4 linked regions of the Alligator mississippiensis genome follow. The protein of the gene in region 1 interacts with the protein of each later gene in a pairwise test. Links are inferred from orthologs where the notes say so. Each region holds a gene or a part of one and is shown on either strand. Other genes may lie near its edges. The genes, in order: SYT6, KCTD9, DVL3 and ZBTB43.

Evidence for each region.
Region 2: the proteins of SYT6 (region 1) and KCTD9 interact in binary tests that used the Homo sapiens proteins (3 or more experiments, as listed by UniProt). The two-hybrid records come from large-scale screens. The link is inferred for Alligator mississippiensis from reciprocal best matches to the Homo sapiens genes SYT6 and KCTD9.
Region 3: the proteins of SYT6 (region 1) and DVL3 interact in binary tests that used the Homo sapiens proteins (3 or more experiments, as listed by UniProt). The two-hybrid records come from large-scale screens. The link is inferred for Alligator mississippiensis from reciprocal best matches to the Homo sapiens genes SYT6 and DVL3.
Region 4: the proteins of SYT6 (region 1) and ZBTB43 interact in binary tests that used the Homo sapiens proteins (3 or more experiments, as listed by UniProt). The two-hybrid records come from large-scale screens. The link is inferred for Alligator mississippiensis from reciprocal best matches to the Homo sapiens genes SYT6 and ZBTB43.

The regions. Positions count from the first base shown.
Region 1 is NC_081837.1:45,532,143-45,539,597, forward strand, and holds the start of SYT6 (synaptotagmin-6), read right to left. Parts: upstream 3,014-7,455; coding exon 2,860-3,013; intron 1-2,859.
Region 2 is NC_081830.1:23,111,459-23,118,444, forward strand, and holds the start of KCTD9 (BTB/POZ domain-containing protein KCTD9), read right to left. Parts: upstream 3,003-6,986; 5' UTR 2,946-3,002; coding exon 2,898-2,945; intron 1-2,897. Other genes in the region: CDCA2 (cell division cycle-associated protein 2), read left to right, coding at 6,485-6,986. UniProt on the Homo sapiens protein: Substrate-specific adapter of a BCR (BTB-CUL3-RBX1) E3 ubiquitin-protein ligase complex, which mediates the ubiquitination of target proteins, leading to their degradation by the proteasome.
Region 3 is NC_081830.1:83,882,431-83,889,697, forward strand, and holds the start of DVL3 (segment polarity protein dishevelled homolog DVL-3), read right to left. Parts: upstream 3,001-7,267; 5' UTR 2,930-3,000; coding exon 2,763-2,929; intron 1-2,762. UniProt on the Homo sapiens protein: Involved in the signal transduction pathway mediated by multiple Wnt genes.
Region 4 is NC_081835.1:67,433,180-67,440,893, reverse strand, and holds the start of ZBTB43 (zinc finger and BTB domain-containing protein 43), read right to left. Parts: upstream 3,017-7,714; 5' UTR 2,893-3,016; intron 2,534-2,892; 5' UTR 2,513-2,533; coding exon 2,415-2,512; exon of another isoform or gene 2,376-2,414; intron 1-2,375. UniProt on the Homo sapiens protein: May be involved in transcriptional regulation.

The sequences.
Region 1 (7,455 bases):
GGCTCCCTGCGCTGGGAACGGGGAAGGCTGTCCCAAGGCTGCACCTCGTCTGGGCATTTCCTCACCCCGCCCCTACGGAGCTGGCTGGCAGCCTCCCTCCAGCTCACGGCCCTGCCACAGGGAACACCCCAGGGCCTTGGAAGCGGCTTCCACAGGGCATTAGCAATGAGTCATTAGTGTGACTCAGTCCAAAGCCAAGTGATCCTAATTCTGCAGGAGAGCCGGTTCCCTTCAGACTGCAAAGGCCATTCATTTCCTGAGGGCCCTGGGGTCTGGTTTTCATACTTCAGAAAGACAACCAGCTGTGGACCTGGCAGCCAGGACTAAATGTGAGAGCCAGAGTCCAGCCTGGCCACGGGAGGCCAAGTGGGTCAGCCTGGAAGAGGCCTCTGCAGCCCTGGCTCCTGGGGCGAATGCACTGACCTGGCAGCTCCCTCCTCCGTCCTGCGCTCTGCACTGATCCTGGCCCCGTTACTGCAGAAAGATGCAGCCCCTGAGCACGGCGGGGTCCTGCCTGCTGCTTGTTTTTGATTGCTGCAGAGACGTTACACAAAGAGAAGATGTAGATGTTGCCTGGATGCAGGGACCTAGAGGGGTTTGAGTGCGAGAGGGTTCCCGTGGGGTCGTGGTGCCGAGGGCACCGGCTGCAGCGAGCAAGAAGCTCCAGAGATGGATGCAGTCCCCGGCCTGCATCTCCCGGCTGACTCAGTCCCTGCGGGGCAGAGCCTGCCGGGTGCTGGGCAAGCCCTGGGACACGTAAGGTTGGCACCTCTCAGGATCAGACCCTGCACTTGTTCAACGCAGCTGCTACAGCATCGTGTGACGCGCCCAGATTGCACAGCCAGCTGCAGTCACATAATGGGAAATCAATAGACAGTTCTTGTCCGCTCCGCGTGCACCTGTCCATCCAGGCCACAGCCTGCCTGCAGCAGGGGCGCACAGACCACCGCAGCCTGCACGGGCGCCCTGCTCTGACCGCGGTGCGCACTGCCAGTGTGCCCACACTGGAGCCCCGGGAGGGCCCGGCCTCTGCCCTCTTGCAGGTCCTGACTGGCACTGCCAGCCAGCCGTCGGGACAATCAGCATTTCGCAGGGTGGCTACACGACCTGCTGCAGCGAGTGCACCGACGCATGGCACTGGTGGTGGGCAACAGAGCTGCTCTCTGGACTGTGACAGACGCACGACTAACGCAGGACTGGTTCCTGCCGCTCCTTCGGGGCAGCCACCCCTGGGGAGAAGCCAGGTTTGCTGCGTAGCAGTGCACAGCCTCACCGCACAGCGGCGTGGGACTGGCAGGCAAAACATGCCCAGATGGAGCAGCCGGGGACCAGAGACCAGCAAGGCGAAAACACACGCACTGCCAGCTGCACAGGGATCGGGCCTCTGCTCCTGGCATTGCCCCGGGCCAGGCTTCAGGTAAGCAGCTCACCTGCCTGCACCTGCCTCCCTGCCCTGCCAGCACCAGCCGCCTCCCCGACCAAACCCCTCAGTTGTCCTGGGCAGAGCCTGGGCCAGCAGCAGCCTGCCCCCTCCACAACACTGCCCAGACGCCGAGACAAGGCCACAGGCGCACAGCCTCCTTCCCTGCCAGGGGGAGCGGTGCATACCCCTAACGGCGCGGGAGGGGACGGGACGGGACCGAAGAGCCTCTGCTGCGATGCCTGGGAGCCCCGCTCACACCCAGCCCCAGGCTCCGTCACAACAGATCGCTGCGCGCGACCCCCACGCGCTGCCAGCTCCTCCGCGCCGCACGCTGCGCGCCAGTGCTGTACCCACGCTGCCTGGCCGTCGGCAGGGCCAGGACAAGGGGGCAGCTTCTGTCTAACGGCAGCTTTCCCCAGCAAACGCTGCTCTCTGATGGCTCCTGACACGAGTCCCAAATCCCCCTCCCGACAGAGCCAGAGACACGCAGAGGTGTGCAGAAGCACCCAGGAGTCTGGCCGGGGAAGCATTTGTTTCCCGTCTGTCCACAAGAGATACCGACCGTGTTCAAGCACTTAGTAATCTGTGTAACATCTACCCCAGATCAAGCCCAGGGGAGGAAAGGCTCAACAGACCTGGGGGGAGAGCGGGTCGCCGTTAGCTCTGTGACAACAGGGAGCCCCTCCGAAGTCCTGTGGCAGCTGCTGCCTCCACACTCCCACGAACGCACGAGGCTGCGCCTGGGGCTTGGTCCGACTCGCAGTTCACCTAGGGCTGCCCGCCTGGGCCCCGCGGCGCTGTGCTGGGGAGATGGCGTCCAGGGTGTCCAGACGGGCGCGAGCGCGCAGGGCATGGCCCCAGCACCGTGTCCCCAGAGGCCCGTCTCCTCTCCTGGGGCCAGCACCAGGCAGCGCAGAGGGGCTTGATGAACACACCTGCCTGCTCCTGCTCCTGCTCCTGGGAGTGGTGTGCCCCCAGCTCGCAGCAGCTCCTGGCCGGCTTAGTCCTTCAGCCATGAAGCGCAATATCCCTTCTAAGCTTTTCATCCTCTCTAAAGTAACTCGGGATTGTCTCACTATCCCTCTAAACGCCTTATCTGCGGTAATCGGCCCGCGCCCGGGCTGGCCACGTCCTGCAGCCGGGAGCTCCGCGGACGCGTCTCAGCACCCGGCCCGGCCCGGCCCGGCCCGGCCCAGGGCAGCTCGCGGGCGGCTGCAGCAGCGCGGCACCGGCCGCAGCTTGCCGGCCGGCCCTCGGGGGCTGCGCGCCCGGCCCGGCGCAGCACGGCCAGCACCCGCCTCCCGCGTGGCAGTGCCGGTGCCGGTGCCGGTGCCGGTGCCGGCGGCGGGCAGGGCAGGGCAGGGCAGGGCGAGGCGGGGGCCGCGCAGTCTCGCGCCCCGGAGCCGGCTGGGGCGGCGGGCGGCGGGCGGCCGTACCTGGCTGCGCGAGGCTGAGGCTCCGGTCGGCGGGCAGGCGCAGCACGTCGCGGCACGTGTCCCCGTCGAGGCCGGGCAGGCTCCGCGCGCGGCACAGCTCGGCCAGGAGCCGCAGCGCCCGCGGGCACCGCCCGTCCGCGCCCGCCGCGCTCATCGCCCGCGCCGCATCCCGCCGCCCGCCCGCGATCCGGCCCTATGTAGAGCCGGGACCGCCCGCCCCGCCCCGCCCCTCCCCGCCCCGCGCCCCCGGGGCCCAGGGGCGGTCACACGGGCGGGCACGCAGCTGCCCCGCTCCTGCCCGCCGGCCTGGGAAGGCGCCGGCTCCGGCTCCGGCTGCGGGCGGCGCGGGGGTGCGGGCGCGGGGCTGCCCCGGGCCTCGCTGAGCGCGGCGCCTCCCCAAAGCCCGGCCTCCATGACAGCAGGGCGGCATCCCCGACCCCGGCGGCCTGCCCGGGGACCTGACACGTGCGCGCCCCCGCGCCCGCCCCGCCGGAGGCTGCCAGGGCCGGGCAGCGGCACGAGCAGGGCCCGGGCCCTGGACTGCTGCCCGGCGGCCGGGGCCCGCCGCTGCCTGCCCGCCGCAGGAAGGAGCAGCCCGGTGCCCGCAGGCCGGCGCTGCCCGAGCCGTGCGCGGGTCTCCCCCACGCGGTTCCGTGCCACACGAGCCGTGCTCGGGGCAGGCGGCGGAGCGCCCAGGCTGGCAGCGGACGGCCGCCGCCCCGGCGCGCTCCCCCCGCGGGCACACGCTGCCGGGGAGCCTGGCACAGCACCTGGCTGCAGGCTCTCGGCCGGCCCTGGCCCTGGGGCGGGGAGGGGCCGGAGCTGCCCTCGCCCTCCTGGCACCCTGGACGCTTGGCCCCGGTGTCTGGCCCCAGGAGCAGCGCCGGGCCCGGAAGACAGTCCGAGCACCCGGCGCAGCTCAGGAAACAGAAACAGGCAGAGCTCGTGCCAGCGGAGATCAGTGGCGACATTTAGTGTCTGGAAATGGGAAAGTTGCTCTAATTTCATCAGCGCTGACATCCAGTCGTCAGCGTCAAACCTAGAGTCACCCGGGTTAATTATTGACCTTCATTTCCAGAGCAGAGCCCGGCAGGCCAGCAGGAGCAGGCCACTGGGCTATTACAGCGCTTACTTGCAAGAAATCGTTGCTTCAGCTGCAGAGATGGACTGATTTGGCTCCAGTGGCTCTTTAATTAACAGCATGTGTGATGTGACATAACAGGGAGGGGAACAGCCTGCCGGGAGCTTGGGGACAGCGGGGACACCAAACACTCATGGGATGGGGCCAAAGCATGGCTAAAACGCCCCGCGCTGCGGCTGCACAGAGACCGCCGGGGCCCAGGAACAGCAGCGCACAAGCCACCCCGAGCCGTGGGCTCACGGGCATCGCGACGCCTCTAGCAGCCCGGGCCCAGCCTAACACGTTGAAGAGATCTGGTGCCAGGTTCCCGAGCTTAAGGAACCAGCCGGGGCAACGTGTCCGTGGCTTTCACGTGTGATCCAGCTGGTTCCCTCCGCAGCTTGTGACCGCACGTGTCCCTGTCACAGCAGAGCTCTTCAGGCAGCCCCGCGTTTGCTTGGCTTCAGAGTCGGTGCCGTTGGAGGCCCAGTGCCTGAAGCCAAGCAGCCTGCAGAGGGGAGAGCTGTATTTGTTCAGGCCAGCTGGGCCGAGAGGGCTAGTGCCTCCATGCTTTCAATTAATAGGATCATTGGACACAGCTCCAAAGGATCCAGGCTGCTTCGGGAGCAAGGCTGCTCTGATCCTGGCCCTTGGGCAGCACTGCTCTGCCATCTGCGCCAGGCCCCTCGGACACCGCCTTTGTGCGCCGGTGGGCCAAGGCCGCGCCGTCTGCCACGGGCCGTCGGTGCACGGCGGGGACAGGCCTTGGGCAGGGGGTGGAAGGAGGCCCGAGCCTGCCCCAGCTCTGCCCAGCCCAGCCTGCGGGCACAGCCCGGCTGTGGCAAGGTGCCCAGAGCCCAGCCTGGCCGTGGCTCCGTCACCAGGGCCCGGGGCACGCAGGGCTGGGGCTCGCAGGCCATGGGCACCGTGGGCAGGCGGGCAGCAGCCGGGGACAGCCCTGGCCACTCCCCGCGCCGGGCTCCACCAGGCTCCGCGCTGCAGGACCCAGCCCGGGGGCCGAGCTCCCTCCTCGCCGGCCAGGGCAGGGCAGCTGGGCCCGGCCAGGTCCGCGCAGCCCAGGGGCAGCGGGCGAAGCACGGGGCGGGCTGTGCAGAGCCCCTGCATGCAGACGGGCCCGTAGCCGGAGCCACCCGCACCACCTGGCAGCTCCGCCCCGGCTCGGCCGCAGTCCTGCCTGGGCGGGCCGAGCAGAGGCTGTTGCTGGTCCTGAAGCCAGGCTTGGCCGGAGCAGCGCCGGGCTAACGACCTGCTGATGCACTCTGCCGAGAGCAGGCCGGGCGCTGTCAGCCAGCCCTGGATGAGGAACCGCTCCCTAATTCAATGCCCGTGTGTTCAGAGTTAAATACAAAGGAGGCTTCCTGGCAGGGAGGCACCCGGGACCGCCCTGGCGCTTTGCACAAGCACCCAGGGCCTGCAGCGCAGGGTGCCTCGCTCCAGGGACGCCTCCACGCAGCACCCACCGCCGGCCTCGCGCTTATGGGGAGCAGGGGTGCAGAGAGATCAAGGCACTTGGGCGGAGGGAAGCACTGGCAGAGCCAAGCTCAGCTCCCGCCAGCCCCTGCCTCCAGCCTCCCACTCCCGCGGCCTGGAGCGGGGAGAGGTGAGAAGGGGCGGGGGGCCCAGGGCCAGTCATTGTCTCTGGCTCAGCACACGGTGTGAGTTAATGGACCCGCGCCCGAGAGAAGGCAACGCTTCGCAGCTCCTGGGGGCCGCAGATCCCAGCACAGGCCCCATCCAGGCTCTTGACCTGTGCCTTTGGTGCCATCTCCACGATACGGCTCCAACAAGCCTCACTGTAAAAGTGCCTCTGAGCGCAGGCCGGGGTGGAAGTGCTGGGTAGGAGCAGGGCCAAGAGACTCCGCAGGTCTTTTATAGCCCCCGGGGGAAAAGCTGGCAAGAAAACCCGTCACGTCACCCTGGAGCGCGCCTAGTTCTTGCTGCAGGACAGGTGGGTACGGGCGTCTGCGCGGCAAGAGCCACGCAGGCAGAGCTGTGCCTGCACCCAGGACGCCGGGGGGGCGGGGGCTGCTGGGGTTTCTTCTCAATGAAGCAGCACACCTCACATCTGCTGAGATTCCCGTTACGTGGCTCCGCTCATCTGCAAGCACGCTGCCACGCGAAGCAGCGCCTACCCAGACGGGATGAGTACAGCCCCCCGCTTGGCGCCGGTGTCAGTAGTTAGGGCACTGCTGCTCCCCGCCGTTTATTTTACAAGAAGCATTGTTAATTAGGTGTGAGCAGCTGTTGATTCACTCCCTGTGTCTGTTATGCTACGGCGCAGCTGCGACTGGTGCCTGAATGGCTCTGGTGCTCCCGGGTAATAAATCACCAGCGCCGTTGTCACCGCACAGAAGGGCCTCACGCCCATGTCCTGCTTCCCCCCTTGCACGTCAGCTGCCCCTTCAGCTCCCTGGGCTGCACGGGCTCCGGCACGGAGGCTCGGCAATGGCTCAGCCCAAGCCCAGCCGCGTGGCAGCTTCAGAGCACCTGCCGCCAAAGGGAGACACTGTCCAAGCGTGCAGACGGCGCGCTTCACCAAGGAGTGAGTGCACGTGTCCGTGCCCTGCGACGGGGGCTGGGCCCAGCCTGGTCAAGGAGCCCGCAGCTCTCCACTGCCGCACGGCCAGCTGTCGGGCCAGTGCCCGCCAGCCTCCCCTCGGGCTCTGCGCTGGGCACCCCAGCCACAGGCCCTGCACAGCCCGGGAGGAGTTGGCAGAAGCCCCCCTGCCACAGCACGATACCCGCCGCGGGAGCCACTGATGCCTCACGCTGCCAGTGCCGACCGCAGCCCCCTGCATGCCCTGGGCTCTCCAGAGCAGCAACTGCGCACACTCCCCTATGCGCCCCAGCGAGCCCCTTGGTCCTCCCCTGGGGCTTCCTGACAGACACCAGCCATGCCCAGCAGCTTCATCAGGAGCCCACAGGCCAGGCGGGGGCACGAGGAGCAGCGACAAAGCCTGGCCATAGCAGCCCTGAGGCCAACACGCCCACCCCAGGCACCCGCCTGCGGGGTGCAGCGAGTCGCACGGCACTTGGCGCAGGGCCGTGGCCAGGGCAAGGCTCTCACTGCGAGGGGCGGTGACAGGGGCAGGGGCAGGGGCAGGAGAGGGGGTGCATTGCACCTGCTACCAGCAAAGCCTCTCGTGGCACTCGGCCATGGCCTGAGCAGGGCCGCTAGCACGGACACAGCAGCACGCCCTGCTTGCTGGCCGCCTCCGCTGCGCTGGCCCCGGCTGGTCACCGCCTCGTGCTGATGGTAGGTCACAGACGTCTCCTAACAGGAGGCCTCCAGAAAACCCTCTCTGGCAGGAGAAACACCACGAATCTGGGTCCATGAAGGCAGTTTTCCTTAAGCGCTTCCGGGGATAACTGCTCTTCTGGCGTGGTTTAGTACCCGCGGAGGTGTAGGGGTTAAAGCCCAGTTTATGGAAACGGGAGACTCCTCCCTCGCTTGC
Region 2 (6,986 bases), on another chromosome or scaffold:
TGTTCCCAATTTAAATGAATTAGGGATTGGGAATAGGAGACCTAAATAAAGTGATAAGGATGACTGGAAGTCCTGCCTTGGGCTCTATGTTTTCCCTCACAAATAATTTCTGTACTTCTATTTGTCATGTCTACAATATGGGAAGAATTACTTTCCTACCTCTCCAGAACGCGTTGCTATTTACGATTTGTGCAACGCTCTGATCATGTGAATTGTTATACTTGCCAAGATTTTTGGAAATCCAGGGTATAGTTACACAAATGAAATACTTGTTGTTGCTCAAGTTCTTTTAATTTTGATTTGTTTTTGCTAAATTACTCTGCATATTCTGAAGCCAGCCATCACAAAAAAACCCAACACAATTATTGAGGTAGCCCTCACCAATAAGCACACCAACTGCATCCAGCATACATTTTATGATTTTGGCAGACATACTACATTTAAAAAACCTTGAGGAAACCACAATGATCCAATTTTCTCCCTATTTCAAGTATTTACACAGGTGGTGCTATTGTTAACAAATCCTAGCAACAGCATCAAATAGTGGAAAAGGAATCAAGAACCTTAGAGGCATTTGACTATTACAACTATTATAGCTGAAGGGTTTTTTTCATTGTCCACCCCACTGCCCCAGCACACTCTCCAAGGCAAGGAGCAATTCTATTGCAAGCAGAACAGCCTTAATTTCAAGCCATTGAATTATCTACGGTTTAATCACCATACTGACAAATTTTACTAGACACAGTGAGGGGAAAAGGGACAGAAAACTGTCCAAAGTTTGGGAAGGTCTATGATACATTTCATAGTCTCTGGACCCAGACCATAAAAAGCCACCCTAATAATAACATGATAGAGGACAAGTACAGTATTTAAGGGTGAGGATAGGAAGTAAATCATTAATGCAGTGTAAAAACACAGGACTTGGAAGTCCTGTGCCCAAGTCCAGTCCCCTATGTTTACAAGCAACCATTTGTTTAAAAGGTTTCAGTGGAGAGGCAAAAAAATGAATGACCTGCATTAGACTTTTTCATTCATATGTTAAAAATAAGGAGATGTAAAGACTGCTGCTGAAAGAATGAGTATTGGATGCATGGCACTATATATAGAAGCCCTTCTTGTTGTAATATCCCCTTATCAGCCAGTTTATCCAAGGCTAGTAGGGTTCCATGGGAAAGCAAAACATTTCATTCATTTTTCCCACCGAACCAGGGCTACTGTGAGCTGGAAGGTGAGTAAGGGTTTCCAGTGCATGACAAGCCAAAAATCAGCCCCAGTGTAAATGAGCTGTTGAAGCTGAATGACTTGCTTCTTTACAGCAGGATTCGATTTGCTTCATTGACAACAGCAGTGAAAGAATAACTAGTCCTGGCAAATGTATTATGTAGCAACTGTTTTACAGTGAAACACTACTTATTTGCTTAGTTTCAGGCCTTTTTAAAAATCCTTTCTATTTCTACAATTAAAGACTAAAATGATGCTCATGTTCATTACAGAAATCAAGCAATACGGGTCCAAGGAGGACAGCAAAGAGGGATCACATTCAGTTAAGATACCTATTGGTTAATAGGTATGCAGTGACTGAGCCATTCTCCCCGTGTTCAATTTCAGACTCATGTTCAATATAGCCTTAGATGGCTATTTGGTGCAAAAATACCCACAAACAGTCTGTAGACTTCAACTGACACGTATGCCACGGTTGCCTAGATTGAGCAGGACCTGTATTTAGTGAGTGTGACGGTGACTAACTTCACTGAAATGCAACTCGGGCAAGAAGTTTTTAGCACCATTTTTTGAAGTCTTTTCTCCCTCTCACCTGCATACATCCTCTCAAGTTAAAAGGTCAGCATATAACATTACGTACGCTGCTGACTCATGTGCTCTATCCTACTCCCACTAATGCCAGTGAAAGTTACAGACTTACAGGGTAGCAAAAATACACTGTAATAAAGATGACCAGTAAAGGGTGGGATGGGATCTCCTCAAATCTTTTATCAGTCTATGTGTGCTTGATTAAAACTACTGAATCCTTCATCCAGACAACAAACATACAGATGGGCGTTAGTGCAAGCTTGTCCAAGTCTGTCCTGCCCCTGCGTTTTAAATGAAAGCGTAGGTCCGTCTCAATCCATATGACAAAACCCAGGGAATACACAGTGCAGAGTGGTGCCCATTACACAAGAGATACCAGAAGAGACAGAAATGCTAATATTTCCTTAGTGAGACGCACCCAACTTTCAGCAAGCAAGCCACTCTAGTAAGAAGGAAAAAGAGTAACTTTTTTTTAAATGATTGCATTAAAATATAAAGATTTGCACTTCCTTTCTATTCAGAAGAAAAGCGGGAGTGTCATGGAGACAGGAAACAAGAAAAGCAAGGGCCTGGGTTGTCGGGGCAGACTGAAAGCGCCTTCCCGCTCTCTGCTGTGAGAGACATGGGTACAGGATCCGGACACGGACACTTCGCTGTTTTTTTGTCATGAAGTTTAATGGCTGGGTGAGGGTCGCAACAGCTGTACCAGGGGAGACATCTGACCACAGATGTGATAGATTAGGACCAGCCCCGCCCCCAGGCCGAGTAAAGGCCACTTTTTCTCTTTTCAGGGCGCACCGAAGCTCCTGCCACGCAGCCCAGCAGTGTGTGCAAGGCCCTGGCGCCCGCTCCCTGCCTTCCCGCTCCTGCCACCGGTAACCTGCCCAGCTGCTCCGGACCGGTGCGGCCCGCGGCTCCGTGCAGTGGTAGGAGCCCGCAGGCCGCGGGTGTGGGTGTGCCCGCTCCATGCACTCTGCCACCGGGCGTCCCCCGCCCGACCCCGCCGCGCCCTCGAACTTCACCCCCGCCCCGCTCCGCCCGCGCCCGCCCGCCGCGATTCGCAGCACGTCTGTGCGCTCCGCCCCCACCTTCCCGTTCCTGGGGCTGCCATTGACGAACAGGGTCACCCTCCGCATGCTCCCGACGCCGTCGCCGCTCCTCACCCGGAAGTTGGGCTCTGTGACTGGCAGCGCCGGGAAGGCATCCAAGCCCTAGCTTCCCGGCCGCGTTGTCCAATAGGAACTAGGGAAGGGCGGGACCATTGTTGCTAGGACCAGGGTTTCGCTCCACGGCGGGGGCGAGGTGTCGATGTGAACCAATCAGAGCGGCTGGAAGGGGAGCCGTTGGAGAACGTCCCTCGGTGCTGGCCAATCGGCAAGAGAGGAAAGCGGGCTATTTACATAAAGGCGGGACTCCAGCGAGACCTGGACCTTCTGATTGGGGGGGAGCTATCACGTGGGTGCTCCCCTGGGTTTCACACGCCCTAGTTTCAAAAATTCGCGCTTCCTCCGCGCTGCTGGGACTCTTCGCGGGCGAGAGTCCTGCGGCCCCGGTGTGAGCCCCGCTGTCCCGTGAGGGGCCGCCTGGCTTCTCCGTGTGGCTTCTCCGCTTCTGGGCTGCGGCGGTGGGCCGGCGGGCGGGCGTGGTGTTGTGGGGGGGCGGGCGCGGCGCGGAAGGACACGCGGTGCTGTGGCAGTTTGAACGCGGGCGGCGGGAGCAGAGCAGCGTTTCTGGCGGCGAAGGGGGCGGCGCGAGGACGGGGTGAGCGCGGGGCGCTGCGGGGGGGCCTCCCGCCCTGGGGCCGGGCCGGGCGACCCCTTTCCTGCGTGGGCCGTGGCCCCGGCCCGAGCCTCTGTCCCGGCGTTGCGGGAATTGGAGCGGTGGGGTCGGGGCGATGGCGGAACCGGGTGCGCGCACCGTAGGCCCGGGGCGGCCGCTCTTGGCCCTGCACGCTTGTCACCGAGCCCATCCGTGAGGTCACTCTGCCGCCACATCCCACCTTTCCCTGCCCACACGCCGGTTGCTTTCACGCTGAGTCTATGGCTTCCCGCCAGAAGCGAGCGGCAGTGATGCGGGCGCGTTGCTTGGTGTTGGCTCGGGTGCGCGGCATGGGCAGCTCTTCTGATCCCTTCTGGAGCCAGGGGGCAGAAAGGCAGTGGATGCATGGGCCGTCATCCCTCGCGGGTTGGGAGTCCTACGCACAAACTCACTCTCCTAAAATGCTACGGAAGTTTTTAGAAATAAACACAAAAAAAGACCCCCACTAATTACCCAAGGGGAAACATGCCTCCAGATGCCCATATTGGAGTTTTCTTTTGGGGTCAGCCATATTGGTCTGGGGCTATATGATACACAGGGGGGTCACCCCCTCCTGTGCTCCACTTGGCTTGAAAAAGGATACTGTGTTACCCAAAAGCTTGCTAGAAACCAGCCCACCTCCAAGGTGGTCTAATAAAAGATAACAGCTGGAACCAAAAGACTATCCTGATACCTGCAGGCAGACAAGATTCCTTAGGTAAATTTGGTATCTTATCAGACCAACTTAAATACTGGATACACTTGTTGCAGGGCTGTTGGTTGTAGCCATGTTGGTCGAAGGACATAGGCAAGGTTCTTTGGGTAAATGTGATATCTTTTATTAGACCAGCTAAATGGGAGGGAAAAGGTCTTGGCAAGCTTTTGGGCACAAACCAGGCATTGGGAGACTGCTGCTGCTGCTGCTATTAGTGTTGCTAAGTCTCCCAAGGAAAAAGAAGCAGGACTGCCTTTAACATCAAGCCCGACCCATTTCAAAGAGAGGGGAGTGGGGGTGCTTGTATAAATTCCATATTTTTTCAGTAGTTCTAGTTTTGCTGCATATAATATTAAGTTACACATTTAGCAGCACTGGCAAGCAGCAGCAGTGCCAACCTCTTCCTGGAGGGGAGGTTGTGATAGTGTATCCCCCCCCCCCTCCAGTTCCTTCCTAGCACCACCCCTGGTAGGGTATGTAGGCAGCAGATCGCGGCTCTGGATCACGCTAACACTGCTTCAAGGAGCCGGGGCAGAGCCATGATCCGCTGCCTGCACACCCTTGCTTGGGGCATGCAGGCTGCAGATCATGGCTCTGCCTCGCTTCCAGACCATGGTGTCACTGCCACAAGATCCCAGCCCAGCTGCAGAGCAGCTCCGGGCCCTGCCGCATGCCCTGCCAGGGCTGTTGGGGCTGGTCTCCATGGAAACCCTGGCCACATGCTATCTAAGTGTGGCTGTTGCTGGGGTCTGCATGGAAAGTGGCCCCAGCCACACTGGCAGGAGCTACTGGGAAACACTGGCTGGATCCACCACTTTACCCACTCCTGAACTATAACTAACCAAAATAAGTGACCTCCAAATAAAACACACCCAAAAAAACCGCAAACCAACTCAAAAAATTTAAAGCAACTTTAAAAAAAAAAAAAAAGCTGAATTCTGCTTATTATACACTGGCAACCTTGGCTGTTATATTTGTTCTCCAAGGTTGAAAAGAAGCTAAATGATAAGTCTGTGAAAATGCAAATAAATGGAAGTTTGGAAGACAACAGGTAGAGATAGGAGGGGGGAAGCAAGGGAAATGTGTGCAGGAATGCAAGTGGTCAGCTAGAGGCAGGTTACCTGAGGTATCAGATGTCAGGCAGGTACCCAGCTGTTTGTAGGTGAGAGTACAGGAAGTGTTATGTCAGACAAAGCCAGTGGTGCATCTTATCTGTACTCTGGAAATTGCTGGTACCAAATGCCTGAAAGGAAAATTAAATACATATGTAATTGGTCCAAGAAAAGCTATCACCCTAAGAAATCCTAGCCTTTGGAAAGAATAATGGAACATCTGGAATTAATACAGGTTGCAATGAGTGCAGCAGCAGTGCTGCTGGTTGAGAATAAGTGGATCTTGGGTCACTGGGAGCCTTCTGTAAAAGCAAGCCACTAATTCTGGTGGCAAAATGTGTACATGAGTCAGTTCTTAGTATCTACGTGCTGAAAATTTTGTTTCCAGTTATGTTTCAGTTTTTAATAGAATGTGAAAGTTACATGTCCTATATCAAAATAAACGTGTATTATATTAAGGGTAGATCATTGCACTAAATTAGGCTTCAGCACTCCACTGTGATATGTATTTAGTTTTATATAATTTATTTTTAACCAAGGAAACTAAGTGCAAAATATGTTGGTTGTGGTCTTAAATTCGCAAAAGTAAGGTCCCAGAGTAATGACACTCCCATCACAGAGCTGTGATTGCTCTAGTAAAATATTAAAATTACTGCCATGTGACATTTATGCAAATTACGTTGTACAGAGTACAAGGGGTAAGATTTAAGATTGGTTCCAAAGAACATAGCCTGTAATAATCCTGATTTATGACTTGGAAATTTCTGCCATCATGTCGTATGGGCATGGATTTTTTTGTTATAACGATACACAAATTTTGTAGTACTACATGCATATAATATAGTTAATGCTGCATTTTTCCTTCAACAGGAAGGCCAGCCACGTTTTTTAATAAAATCTTGCAACATCTGCCTGTATTAGCAGTTCAGAATCATCTATTACAAAAACCATTGCTATTACCAGTGGTTCCTTTCTTACTGGTAAGGAGCCATGATTGTAAGAAGACAAGGCTGATTCTATTTTTCTGGACGCTTGCAACACAGCAGTGACAATGCGTAGATCATTTAGCCAAATGTTAAATGCTGTCTGGGAAGACAAAGAAAATATAAGCGAACTTAATGAAGAAGATGGAGAGGCCTGTTCCATGGCTGTTTCAAATCAAGAGAAGATTGGTACAGTGGATGTATCAAAAGCCACAAAACTTTCTGAAATGCAAAATGTAAGCACCAAGAGTCAGAAGAAGTTTGTGCAGAAAGCCAGTATGATAAGTGACACATATGTACTAAGAGAATCAGACCAGAGGAGCAACAATAATAGCTATCAACTTATTGGAAATCTTTCTGATTCACTAAAAGGAAATCAGTCTGTTGAACCCACCATTCCCTGCATGACACTGAGCAAATGGGATAGTCCTTCAAAAAGTGGACCTACCTCTGTGGGTAATGCAAACTATCTGACACTTACCGAAGTAAATACTATTTCTGGACCATCAGAAAAACGAACGCAAAAACCTGTTGATTTTGCGACTGTAACAGTAGCTGACTTCAACATTA
Region 3 (7,267 bases), on another chromosome or scaffold:
GGTACCTTTCAAGGATGCGGCAGGGTGCCATACCACGTTAGCACGGTTAGGTTTATAAACATGATTCACAAGATAAACCCAGCGATTTCAAATTGAAACCCGCAGTTGTGGGCTGTCTCTGTTCTTTGCAACATAAAAACTGCTTTATTATTTTTCTTTAGGCAAAAAAAAAGATTGAAAATGAAGAGCTGGAATTTCCAGAGGGTGCCTCGAGTCTGCAAAGGCTGAAAACCACCCGTCTAAGGACTTCAGGGAATAGATGGGAGAAAATAAGTACTTGAAGTCCCATTTTATAGAAGAGGAATTGAGAAATTAAGTGGTCAAGAAAGGGAGTCACCTGGGAGAGGTATAGCAGAGCTGGGAATGGGACCCAGGCCGCATGAGCCCCAGCCTAGTGCTTTCACCCCAAGACCATCCTCCCCCTGACCGGCAGGAGCACTGGGGACACCCGAGAGCAGTGTCATTCAACTCCTGAAGACGCAGACAAAGTCTGCAAACCAGATCGCTGGGCTCACACCCACTCCACCACGACTTGCTGCCATTGCCCCACAGTTTGGTAACAGGCAGGGAACAATCACGTTTACGCCACGCTGATGGGCTCAAGAAACACATCGTCTCCTCTCTATTTAAACCTCCCCTCCCCACAGTTTATCAGGCAATTGTTTTCTTGGGTTTCTTTTCTACAAGAGACACCACTTTGGGGTCCACGGGTCAAGGCTGAGCACCCTTCCCTTTGACTAGCGTTAGCTTCCTGAGCAGCCTCGCACCCCACACTCAACAAAGCCTTGGCGCATATTTCTAAGGAAACGTAAAGCCTGAAGCAGCATCGCTGTTACCCTGATTCTCGCAGCCAACAAATACGGACGAGAGAAACAGCAAGGAAAGCCCACGGGCTGCGATGGCGGCCGCGCTGCCTCCCTGGGCATGGGAAGAGCTGACGGGAGCTCCCAAAGGAACACCAGACCAGTTGTCCAGCCTGGAGAAAAGTGAGAAAGGCAAGATAATTAATCAGACCCAGGCCGAGGACTGGGGAAGAAAGGCCAGGGCTCTATTATAGCAGATAAAAGCTGCCTCTGGGAGAAGGTAAAACGCCTCCATCCCGAGCGATGGATCTGCAGAGAACTCAGCCTCGTCCCACACGAGGTTTGGGGGAGCTTTGCTCTCAAATCAGTGGCCAAAGTTTCTACTTTCTCTCCGGGCAGCTGCCACGGGACCTCCAGGTGGACGAAACGTTGCAGCTGCTCAAAGGGGTCCTCGACGCAAACACCTTTCGAGACGTTTTCCCACGTTCTCCCTCCACGCGGTGCTGGGGAAGGGGGCACTTCGGGGAAAGCAGCAGACTGCCCGGCAAGAACCGAAGCGCTGCAACCGCATGCAGATACACCGTGACTCCCGCAGCGACTCTTAATGTCGCTGCGAGATCTCCGCAAAACGTTATGATCCTGCCTCCCCATCTAGGTTGGGGAAGGAAGACCCCTTCAGTTCTAGCTCTCCATAGTCCAACGCAAGACTGGTCCCCAATGGTTTCTGGTTTTGCTTTTCACCGCTAGCCACCAAACCTCCTCAAGCAAGAGGGTTCCCACCCCCTCCCTGGAAACGATCCCACAGGTGCATGGGTCTGGCGGTCTCCTTCTGCCCCGCTTGTTCCCCTGTCGCTTCTCTGAATGAGTAGGTCTTCTGTTCTGCACAGCTCGTTTCCAAAATGCACCCCTCCAGGTGGAGCTTCCCCTCCCGGCTCCAGACCACCATGGCTTTCCTCCATGCCTGCGATACCTGGACAAAACCACACTGCCCGCTTTAGTCCACCCAGATCACACCGCAGACGTCATCTGATGCGCCGCTCACTGCCTTGGTGCCCCTCATCCGTGCCTGCTCCTTGACTCTCTCCCTCTCTGGGAGGACCAGGGGTTAAGGTTATTTTCCCCAGATGCATTATCTGCGTTTGCCCATGCCGGATCCGATTTCATTGTTTTCTGCCCGTTCCTAATCTTGCCGAGTCTCCGTCTCGTTTCCCTGCCCTCCCTGGTTTCTGCAGCTCCTTCCAGTTTTGCTTCACCTGCAAATTTCATTCATCTGCCATATGCCTCCTTTTCTAGACCATCCGTGAAGCTATTATTTTTTTTTTTAATTTAATTTGTATCACCGGCCAAATCAGCCCAGGCTAATTCCAAACGCGAGACGTGTCCCTGCTACCGGCAAACATCCTCCGCCCGCACCCGGGGCTTCACACGTTCCCAAATCCTCTGGCGGGCGTCCTACGCGCAGGCCCAAGCCCGCAGGCGCGGGGTTCGATGCTCGCCCGCAGCCGCGCGGCCCCGGGGACGAGACTCCCGCGCCCGTAACCCCTGCAGCCCGGCGGCTACCGAGCCACGCGGGCCGGGTCGGGGACGCAGACGCACACGCACGGTATTTCCCCTGCCGCGTTACGAAGCCACGGCGCGTGTCCCGAGCTGCTGAAGGAGAGCAGGACCTCCACCCGCCTGCCCCTTCCCCACACCCGCTGTCTACCGCTGCCCTCGCTTTAGGGGGGGCTTCACGGCGACCCCACAGGACGGGCCGCGGCCAGCCCCGCGCGCGGGGGTCGTGCCACCGTGGCGGAGCGCGGCCCCTCGGGGATTGGGGCCGCCGAGATGCCACCGAGCGAGACCCCGCCAGCGAAGTGAGGCGGCTTCTCGGGGTCCTGGATGCGCAGCGCCCGCAGGCCCGGCCCCGCCGGGACAGGCCGCAGCCCCGGGCTTTGTTCGCGGGCCGCTCGGGCTCACCCGAAATCGTCGTCCATGGACTTGAAGTAGAACTTGTAGTTGGGCCGGTTCAGCAGCCCCTTGAAGTCGCCCAGCGTGACGCGCTCGGCCGGGATCGGCAGCTTCACCAGGTAGGGCGTCTCCTGCTCGTCCAGGTGGTAGATGATCTTCGTCTCGGCCGCCGCCATGGCGCCCCCGGCCCGGCCCGGCCCGGCTCGGGCTCCGGCCCCGGCTCCCGGCGCCGCGCAAGCTCCGGCCGCGGCTCCGCCTCCCCCGCCTCCTCCGCGGGGCGGGACCAGCACGAGCGGCCGCGCCGGCCCTCGCTCCCACCCGCGCCCGCCGGGCCTGCAGCGCCGCCCCCAGCCCCGCGCCGGACTCGCTTTGTTCCCCGCCGCCGCCGGCCGCCGCCCCGCCCCGCCCCGCCGCCACGCGGCGACAAGGGCCTCCACCCACCCGCCATCCTCCCACGCGACGCGACGCGACCCCACGATCCGCCACCTCCCGCGCAACACGAAGGGCACCCGCCACCCGCCCGGCGCCACCATCCTCCACCGCCGCGACACCACACCACACCACGGTCCGCCACCTCCCGCACAGCACGGAGGTCCCCACCCGCAGCACGACAACAATCCCCCACTGCCAACACCACACGACAATCCCCCACTTCCAACACAACGCGACCATCGCCCACTGCCAACACAACGCGAAGATCCCCCACATCCGACACAACACGAAGATGCCCGCCGTGGACGTGAAGAGCGCGGCATGCATCATCCTCGCCGAAGCCCGTGTTGCCCGTGACCCTCAAGCTGGACACGGTTTGCGAATGTGCACCGACTCCCGCAACGAGCGCTAACAGCCTGAGATGTCGGGGCGGCCGGAGGAAACGCCACAAGGACACGCTGAAGAGGGACCTCAAGAAAACATGCCGACATCAAGACCCGGGAGGAGCTGGCTGCTGAGGGACTCCCATGGCGCGGCAACCTCAACCGAGCGGCTGCCCGTGTCGAGGTAAAGCGTCCTGCCCTTGAAGCAGAGAAAAAAGCAGAAGGGAAAGGAGAGAAATTGTGGCCTACAGCCTACTGTCTCCAACAGAAAAGCCAGCGGCTCCTGTAGACAGGTCTGCCACTCAATGACTGAACTCAAGTTGCCTCAAGACCCACCAGCGAACCACGGCGGTGAGCATCCTTGAATCGAGGGGTTGCTGACAAGTAGGAGACGTTTTCATCCCACGGCTGATCTTCCGTGTGCACAGCACAGGCGGGGAAACTTCACTGCCCCGTTGGAAGCCTTTATTGCTAGCTAGAGAGCAAGTCTTTCATTGTCCCAGGCTTGCACGGTGCCTTCCAGCAGGGCCTGGGCAGTTGGGTGCAAGGCAGGCAATGTGACAGCCACAGGCTTTTGGCTCGCCTCCATCACCCCAGTGCAGAAGCTTGCATTTCCTTGGAGATCTCAAAACAACAGCGGTCTCCCTGTGCCTGAAGAAGGGTGTTGGTACCCAAAAGCTTGCAAAGAACAGGCAGAGGGAGACTGCAGGTCTGAGATGTCCAAGGAGTGAAAGAAGCTAAAAGTGTGACGGGATGTCAGTACGGGATTGTAATTCCCACCTATTTGCAATCTCGTACTGACATCCTGTTACGCTTTTAGCTACTTTCACTCCTTGGAGATCTCAGACCAGCAGAGCCCCCCGTGCCTGAAGAAGGGTGTTTGTGCCTGAAAGTTTGCAAAGAACTTCTTTCCAACAAAAGATATCACATCCACTCAATGAACCTTGCCTGCCTGCGTCCTTAGACCAACACGACTACAACCGAAAACCCTGAAAGTTGCATCCTTAACCAAGATGCAACGGCAGTGGCTTTTGAGTGCTTAAATACAGAGCCAATACAGAGAGAGACTCCGCTGCCCGCAAGTCTTGCAAAGTCACCGAGATAGGAGCCAACGAAACCGGCAGGAAAGGATTAGGCGAAGCAGCCCCATGCAACCGGACAGTGGTTCTCACTCTTTTTAGACCCCCGACACCCCTCAGAAAATGCCAGTTTTTAGTTTTCACTTTTTTTTTTGACTGTGGAAAAACAGAAGTGCAGTTTTTCTGTTGCTAAGAACTCAGAACGGACACACGAGGCCAGCGTGGTGTCAACATTATGAATTCCTATCTGAAATCTCTGCATTCATCCTGTGAAGGCAGGGCAGGGATGCACCTTACACACTAAACAGGAGATGCATAAGCTTGTGCGAGTCTGAGCTGACTCACGAAAGCTTATGCAACTCCGGTTTAGTCAGTCTATGAAGTGCATCTCTATCCTGCCTTTTGCCTGACTTCAGACCACCACGGTTTGCTACCTCTATTTTGTGAATCATGTCTGCACACCAACGCTAATATCGCACGGCACGCCACCTTCCAAGGATCTCAAGGTACCCCGGTGCTGCAACACCCCGCTGGAGAATCGCTGCTGTAGCTTTGTACCTGCATTAAGAAATGTTGCAGCACCACCGAGCACGACCGCTTCTGCCGTTACACTCAGCTATAGGCTAGGTTCAGGCATTTCAGATCATTTGAGCCCAGTTGACTTCCTTCCCCTTGGGCAGGGGGGTTGGACCCCACAGTCTCGCAAGGTCCCTTCCAGCCCTGATATGTACAAAATCTATGAAATGTTTAGCACAGCACAAAAACCTGCTCAGCCCAGTCCCAGATGCAGTGAGGTGAATAGGCTTAGGCTCCAGCACTTAATTCTTTAAACGAAGCAGGGATGTCCGTCTAAAACATACGTTGTCTTTCAAGCAGAAATCATGGGCCTGATACAGGACCCAGCAGGTCAGTTCTGATCTGTTGTAGATGGGCTGTCAGACTAGATGACTGCACTGGCCTCTTTTGGCCTTAAAAAAACCCTCAGGGATCCACCACTCACATTGGTCTTAAAAAAACCCCAGCACGTTTCACTGCAGTGTCAAGGCTTCTTCCTCCAAAGCACTGTTTGCATCCATCCGACTCACTTCCGAATCAGCCATACAGATCATTGGGCCTGTCCCGCTCTTCAATGCTGTCATCAACTCTCCATACGCACACAGAGAGAGGTGTCTATAGATGCACACACGTATGTCTATATACATCTAGACACACACATGTTTATGTGCCATTGAGCCATTTTAACACACCACAGCTCTGGCTTGGAGGGTGTCAAATATGCTACTTGGTCTCTGTTCTGAGCAACGTAGCCAGAGATTGCCACGGTGGGAGGGGGGGGACCCCATGCAGAAGAGACTCTGGGGGGAAGGACAAAGCTTCCTCACGTAGCGACATTCTTAGCCCTTTGAACCTCTACCTTAGGTATGTGCCTGCAACCCTCGGGTCAGATGGTGGCTCACAACACGGAGATCTTGGCCACTTGAGAGCAGAGACCTCAGGCTGTGGAATGCAGAACACACAGAAAGCAGAATTGTTTGTTTCTTGGCACAAAGACTCCAGAGGCTCTGGCCAAAACAAGCCAGTTACGGAATTACAGACGAAACCTTCTTTTTAACCTTCTTTACCCTGTAAAAAAAAAATTAAAAAATACTCAAGATGTCCAGGGAGATTTTCAAACTCCTGAATCGCGCAGCTGGCTGGTAAACACTTTTGAAAAAGGGGTTTGTTACCCACCTCTTCCCCAGCAGGGTATGGCGTACGACATACTTTAATGCGCAGTATGGCAGGGAGGATCATGCTTCGGCCAGGATTAAAGCACATCCTTTTAACTTGTTCTGAATAAACAGGAGCCTCACCCACTGCAGGAATCTAAAGTGCCGGAGTTTCAACTGGGTGAGCTCGTTTGCAATTCCTAATGGTAACACTGCTGGATAGGATTGAACACCTACCCCATGCCACCGGCGTGCTCATTTTATGCCTGTTATAAGCACAACTTTGGATCGTTTTGAAAAATAAAGTGGCAACTGTTGATCCTCCGGGATTCACAGTGTATGCATGAGGGCCACCCAGGTCTTCGATGCATATGCTTGGGCAGGAATTTTTTTTGGAAGAGTGGAGGTTGCCCAGACCTTCCATCCTCCCTTCAGGCCACTGAGACAAAATCCAAAGACCAGATGTTTGGTGCCTCCATGACTGTAGTTGCATGAGCATCTAGGAATTGAACCCAGGTCTCCTGTGCGGTAGACAAGGATTCTACCACTGAACCACAGGGGACTCCTGAGAAATAAGGTAGCTATGGGTTATTATGGAGAAGTCTATAGCCAGCAAGATCAGAGCAGAACTCACAGGTAATGCCACGCTCAGAGACACATACTCAAACAGCTGATTCTTTATACCAGGATGGTTTTAATCGCTCCCTGAATTAAATATTGGCAGATACAGAAAGTTCAGATACCGACTATTTTCCCGACGTTTACAAGACTGCGTTCCAGTGTCAGAAACCAAGGGCCTTCAGGCACAGTCTAGATATGCTGAGCGCTCAAAGATCACCCCTTCCCAGTGCTCGTGTGTAAGAGGCAGCATTCCCACCCTCCACCAGCGCCTTGCCACAAATCCATGTGGC
Region 4 (7,714 bases), on another chromosome or scaffold:
TTTTCTCTTTCCTGAAAATTAATACAAGGTTTACAAAGGGTAGTTTCTCATGCAACCCCAGATACATCGCTTAAACCTGCCATTAAGGGATGGCTTTATAGCTTAAAAAAAAAAATCAGTCTGGCACTGTGTGACCATGGTCAGATGTACCATTTCACAGGTGGACCATTTCACAGGTGGAAACCCTAATACCCTATTTCACAGGCTATTGTCAGGCTTAATAAATGTTTTATTAAAGACAGTTTAATAAGATTTAAGATGCTAGGTAAAAGTCATTTTTAGTGGAAATTCTTAGGCCTAAAGTGGCCTAATAAGGCACCACTTTAATACATCAGACTAGTATCTGCCTTCTGGTTAAGCAATTTGCCAACTGCACTCACAAAAATCCAAAAGAGACCAGTCCCCTATGAACTGCTTGATCCAATAGAGAACGCCAGAGTAAGATGTCCATTTGTACAGTGTGTGATATTTTCAAAATGCAGTCCTATAAATATCTGGAATCTCTATATTAAGAATTAAAAAGCAACATCATTACATTTCCTCCTTTGCAGAAAATGACTGATCAATTTTAGCCCATCATGATGGAAAATTATGCTCAATTTGCATTCTAGCCAATCTGAAGTATGAGCCAATCAAAGTGCTGAGTGGCTGACTTCCTGAATTACCACCATATATATTAATAGACAGTATCACATTTTAAAAGATCCCTTATTAGAAGGGAGGTTATTTCTGAAGCCCTCCCATGAAGTCAAACTGGCTTACACATTTCTAAAGACAGCCCTACTATGAATTAGGAACCAGGCAATTAGAATGACAGCACCTTTAACCCCAGCTAGTTTCATTCACCTTCTTTCAGCCTTGCTCACTTTTTACAAACTGTTCCTCCTTTACATGAACACAACAACCCATTTCAGAAAGAGCCTCCCTTTCTTTAGGCCTTTTCTCAGACAGCACCATCCCAGGTAAAAGAAACCCAGCCCCACTGCAAGAATTTCAGCTTGCAAATACAGCACACTCCCTCTAAGCACACAGCTTTGGTACGAAAAAGGTTGTGCACTTACCCTGAGCATGCACTTAAAGCAAACAAACCTCACTGAGTACACAGCATTTGCAGCACTTGAGACTTAACCAGCGTTGCTAATAGCACTGTAGTATTAGCAGAAAAACTGACTAGCATTTGTCCTCTTTAAAGCTTCTAATAAGCAGCTTAGCGGATGCTACTAGAAAACTCAGAAATGAAGGGAGAGCGGTCCTGAAGCTGACTAGGAACCAGGGAACCGACTACCTCCCTTCATCTGCAAGGCTTCCAAGAGCAGCCTCTGTGACGGCTCCTTTCTCTCCACTGTATCAGGTGTAGTTGAAATGAGAACAATTACAGTCATATTCAGCATGCACTACCTTGAATATAATTAAGTTAAAGCAGACGGTAGAGCTGAAATATGCTGCCTACTTGACCAACATACACAACTGATATCTGTTTATGGTTCTTGTCACATACAACAATAAGCAAAACATTAGGACTGGCATTGCTACACAGCTAAACAAATTAAGTACTTACATCAATGATTCTCAACCTTTTTAGACTCAAGACACCCCTGGAGACACTCCTCCAGAACTTGTGTGAATTGAGTGGCACCCTGTTTTAAAATACGCCTTTATTACAGTGCTTACTTTCTTGCAAAGGGGCCTGGCAGGGGCAGGCCTGAACCTGCACTTATTCCCTCGCACCTGCTTATCTCAGCACAACTCAAAGCACCCTTCAAAAGATCTCGCATCACCCTGGTTGAGAATCACCGACTCGCAGCGTACGCTAAGTACGTATGTATGCACGCAAGCTATGCAGCCTACGACAGCTGGTCCCGCAAAGCGAGCTGCATGGATGCAGAAACAGTGCAGTCACGTGTAAATTATTCTTGGCATTGCTGAATCATGCAACAAGAACACACAAGGGCAGCTCGTCACTAATACTATAATGGACAATTATGTTAATGCGCAAGCTCAATGCGTAAGTCATGACGTTTTTGTATCTCTTCTTACACTAGGAGGAAGTTGTTAATTCTTCGCCAAACATTCCCATATTTTGGAATAACTTCCCATGCAACCATTTGCTGGCAATCACTTTTTTTTCCTTTCTAGTAGTGCTACGCTAATTGCAGTTAAGTGCACTGAAATAACATTTGGCTTGAACTACCACCTCTCCACAGCGTACAACTGAAACTCGAGGAGACACCACGCTAAATCCACATATTTCCTGTGGCATAATATTTCTAGGCAGGATTACTGGTTTCTTTTATGTGGGCAACTGACATGAAAGACAAGCGCTTTACACGAGCGGGGCAGCGAGCCCCGCACGTGCTGTCCAAGCCCTTCTTCACCTGCGTTACCAGAAGCCCAGATGTGGAAGGGGAGATGACCTGTGAACCGTGGCTGGACGCGCGCTGCTCGCGGGCTGTTCTGTCGGCATGTTCCCGGCGGGTCGGGCGCAGCGGGCGACGCCGTCCTTCCGATGCATGCGCGGCTCCCTTCACGGCCTCTGCCAACCACATCCAAAGACAAAAGCCATTCGCTTGCCAGACGCGGGTGGCGCGAGGGCAGCTTCAAGCCAGCGTTTCCCCCCCCCCCCCGCTCCCGCTGCCCGCCGGCTTGGCCGCGCTGCCGGACACGGGCACCCCGGCACGGCCACCTCCCGCCCGGACATGGCACCCGCCTGAGGGAGGCCCGGGCGAGGCGGGCCCGCGGCGGCTTCAGGCTCCCGGCTCGGGCTGGGCGACGCAGGGCCCGGCCCGGGGGAAGAGGCCAAGGCCCAGCCCGCTAACCGCCGCACTGTCCCCGGCGCTCCCCGCCGCCACGGGCCTCGGCCTCAGCCACGGCAAGCCGCGGTCCGGCGCTCACCTGCGCGGGTCTCACATCGCGGGCGCGGGGTCCGCAGACGCTTCCGCTCCCGCCGCCACTCGCCGACCCCGTCCGGCAGCACCAAGCTCTTCCGCTTCCGGGTCACGTGGCATCAGCGCTCCGCTTCCGGGCGCAGGGCGCAGGCGCGGACCCGGCCTGCCTGACGTTACGGGGGGCGGGGCGGGACGGGGCGGAGTCGAGCCGAGCCGAGCGCGTGCTCCGCGAACGCTCGAAGGCGGCGGGGCGGGGCGGGGCGGGGCGGGGCGGGGCGCCCGCGGGGGAGGGGCGGGGCTGCGGGACCAACCGTCTCCTCGCCCCTCAGGCGAGCCCCGCACCTGCGCGGGATCAGGCGCGGGGCGCAAGGGGCTGCGGTACCCGCGTGGAGCGAGCGCCGTGCGGCAGCGCCTTCTTAAAAGCTGCTTTAAAAGTGGCTCCATGGAGCAGATCCCGCTGGGTGCGTGTTCGCTTCTGCAGCAGTAGGGTGAATAATCCGGCCTCCCTCGCCTCAGGAAAGGCATTTGTTTCCGTATTGCTTGTACGGTCCTGAGCGCACGGGCTCGTTGTGGGTGCGGTGGAGGGGGAGGTGTGCGGGCTCCGCCGCTCCCAGGAGCAGCAGGCCTCTCCTGACCTGGCGGCTGTCCCTAGAGCCTCGTGAAGGGAGCGAGGTCGTCGTGTGTCAAAGCCTAGTCCCCGCCGTCCTGACCGTGTGCGCCGCTGGCCCGGAGAAGGCCTTGCCGGCCAGGCTTGCTGGCAGTGGCTGTCCCCTCCAGGCTGCGGCGCTGCCGGGGAGCCGTCCGTCGCAGAAAGAAATCCTCCTGGGGGCAATTGTGGAATAACTTGGTTGCAAAGAAAGTTTCCTCCTTCTACCGCCCCTGTCGTGGTTTGCTAACGCCTTGAAGCAGGGAGGTGTCGACCCGTTTGGGCTGTGTTTTAATACTTGCCTATTATAACTATTAAACTGTTTTCTGTAGACTTTCAAGCACGTTAAGGAGGAAATAGCTTCACAAATGTCTCTTCCCTGCACTATTAAATAAAAGGTGGTTACATTTTTCAGACCGGTTGCTGAAACGGAGACTCTCCGCTGATTTCCTGACAGCCGAGAGCCATTCCCTTTGGTCTCTGCTCCGGAAGTAGAGTCCAAGGTGAACGCGCAGTCCAGAAACACCCTGCTAATAAGACCGCGTTATAGGTTTCCGAACCAGTGAGTGGTGGCATATTCGGTGGGGTCTCATTTACATATTGGCGAGGGAGAAATGCTTGTTTGGCCAGACCTTAATTGCTCGTTATACATGAAACATCTTGAAAAATTTCAGGCTTCATCCTACTTTCATTAAACTGTTTCATTTTTCTTTGTCAGCATGTGATTTGGAGCAGGTTTATCGTTTTAGGATTCTTTTTAGATCTAGAAAGACCAACCCAGCAGAGTTAAGGAAACAGACGGTTAACAGGCTGGTCCGAAGGCACTGGTCTGTGTCTCTGCGGGCCATGGGAAGGGAGCAGGTGAAACTGCGCAGTGGGCACCAGCTGTGTCTGTCTTGGAGCCGTGGAGATGCAGTTGTCCTGCTCATTCAGGATTGCCTGGTGGACTCTACCAGGTGTCCCTTACTCTCTCTCAAGACCAGGGCTGCTATTCACTTCAGCTGCCTTTTCAGTGAAAGGAGGCATGAAGAAGAGAAAAGCACATGTATGTCAGGAGGTGGGGTACAAGAAAAGTGTAGGAGTTGAGACAAAGCAGGAAGAGTAATGATTTGTTTTATGTTTCTTAGCTTGGCAAATATCTCCTGGGCATGATGTGTCAGCAGTTCTGCAAGTCAGTTTGCCAGCCTTGGAGGAATGGGGGATGTGTGTGTGTCGCTTGTTTGCTGGGGCCCTTAGAAACCAGTACTACATTGCTGGGTTCTCCCAAGCCGGCATCTTTGTGGTCAGTCATAGCCTTTGTAAGAAGAGATTATTGCCTGTGCATTAGTGAGAGTGGGAAATCAAGGTTGGAGCTAATAGTTTCTGACTGTAGTAAGTTGTCATTTGGGCACTACACAGGAAAAAGGATGGAGCTAGTGAAAATCCTGTTATACCTCTGGCCAATCTACCAGTAACTTTTGTCAAGGAGTGCCCTTGTTAAGTCTTAGTGGGTGATAGAGAGCTGCTACTTGTGCTGCTATTATAAATAACAGGATAGAGGAGGACAAAATTCTCAGATGCATGCTGGACAGAAAAGATCTAATTTAAACTTTTAATTTGGCTATAGCTGGGCAGATTTTTTGACGGCAGTTTAAATGCATAGATGCAGTTTCACATATAGTCTTTCATAACACTAAGCATCTGGGGGCCTGGTGGAAGAGGCTTCTTTGGCAGTGTCATATAAAATAAGGGCTTGGTGATGGGAGAAGTAAAGTGGCCAGAGTAACTGCTATCCCTCAACAATACTGATCATTTTGTCTGAGAGAACCTAGCTAAGAGATGTTCAAACTATGTGGTCTGAAGAGAAAGGTGGATCTAACAGAGAAGACAGCAGTTAATTTCTACCAGCTGTTATCATTGTGGACTGAAATTTAAATGGTATTTTAACCCCCCCCCCCCAATATATATATCACATGATTTCTCATAGTACACACCGTTTTAACTATTTAAAACCATTTGGGTTCTGAAGAAAATTCCCTGTGATGAAGGGATCAGGAGGCTCTGGTCCTGTAGTTAATTTCTCTACATTTATGATTCAAAAACTGAATTTAATACAAAATTAAACACAGAAAAGTTTGGAGATAGTGAGCAGCTTATTGACATTGAACCAACTTTTATATTAAGCAACATGTTTAATAGCCAAGACAGTTATCAAAATTGCTTCACCTTAACTCTTAGTTTTTCAGTTCCAGCTTCATTTGGGAGTTATGGTTTTCCTTTGCAGTAGTTCACTGGGAAATTTCCTATGTTTTCCCTACTTTTATTTCTCTGAAACTGCCAGCAGTGTTGTATGCAATGTCAACAAAGAGACACTAGAGAGCAATAGTAGATGCTGGCTTGGGAATTAACTGTGCTGTCTCAACAGTATTGCACAGGTCTGCTTGCTTGGTGATGAAGAGAGTGAGTAAAGGGCATGTGCCTAGACCTACTACGTGACAATGAAACGTTGCCTTGAGACTACTGGTTTGGTTGTATGGCAAGCACATACAAGAACTTCCACAAAATACGATGGGATTCCACAGGAACAATTTATAGGCTGAAAATAGATCAAAGACTTACTTTGAACTGTCCAAACAAGCCTGTGGCATTTATGATGGTGTTTTCATGCTGGCACATTAAGCTAGTTCATAACTGTTAGTTTAGTTAGATTGTATCTTGACTGTAGAGGACTGACTATTCCAATAAGGAATTAAACCTTCAAAACAAAAAGTCATTAATTTATTTTCAGACACTGTCTTAAATGAGAGAGGTTGCTGTTTGGTTAGCTTTCTGAGAGACTTTAACCTAATCTTTCTTGCCTTTTAGACTACATAAAACAAGTCCTATGAATAGAGACTAGTTTCTTGCTACAGTGTACTTGGGAATGCAGCCCTAAAATAGTTTGCTGCTGCTTTACCTGTGTAAAGCCCCTGATTTAAACAAGATGAGGGCCATTGCTGTTGGTGAAAGGTAAGTTGGGAGGGTTTTAATGATGTTTGATACAAATAAAATATCACATTCATTTAGACTTTACACTTTCTAAATGCAATGCATCTCTGTAAGTTAAAGAGTTACCAGTCTTGGAGAATTTGTAGAGGAGGTGCACCACGAACAATGGCTGAATAATTTTCCAACATTGCATTGTCAAGATGCTCTGACCCCTTGGAGGTGAGAAGAGATTCTGGTTTCAACTACACTTTCAGTCCTTGGCTTCATTCCTTCAAGGATACTAAATAGTGGCTATCAGAATAGTGGATTTATTTTTATGGCAAATCGAGATCTCTATCATGGTAAACTCCTAACTGGCAGACTGGGCTTCAGCTAGTAACCTACAGGTAGAAAGATTGAAAATTTAGGTTTGTTGACCTCTTTGTTAAAGCAATTTTACAGGTTTTATTTCCAGAAGCTTTTAATGGGGTTGTCCAGAGAGAAAGAGACCTTTTGTGCTTGCTCGCTGTTTGTATTTAATCACATGTTTTGGCATTTTGAGGAAATCACTGATTTGGGGGCAGATACAAAATTTTAATACTGTACAGAAGCTTTTGGGTCCCCCTTGCCCCCAGCCCAAAAGATCCCATGTTTCTAACTGTACCTCATTTTAAGTGTATAGCACTGACGTGGTACCAGTGACGCTGCAGATGTTTTCTGTGCTAGGAGAAGAAAGACCTCTCTAGTCAACTGCACACTGCAAGAAAAGCTTGAGTTAATGGTTGGCATTTCAGCAGATCTAGGCAGTTGTCAAACTGGTTCTTTTGGACCAAGAGGGAAAACATTCTAAAGGCAAGGGCCCCTTCCTGAGTGTGCCACGCTTGAAACTAAGCTGAAGCCATATGAAATACTTAACAACATTGTCTGAAGGTCTCAGGGTGAAATGGGCACCGAGGTTACTTTGACTGGGAGGTCAGGGAAGGTGTTGATACAACTGAAATAGTTGTCTGTCTTTTGTAAAACAGTAGATGGTGCTGAAAGCTAGGGCAACTTCTTTCCTAACCTAGTCCATGCTCTGTCACTAATAGGGTCTCATAACTTCACCACAACTATCTACTACAGCTCCTGGTCATTTTAGGAAGTCTGTTATTTAATGAATAAGTAATAATTGTATAACAACCAGAAAACATCTATGTGCATTTTAGTGAAAAAGCAATTTATTTTAATTTTATCTTTA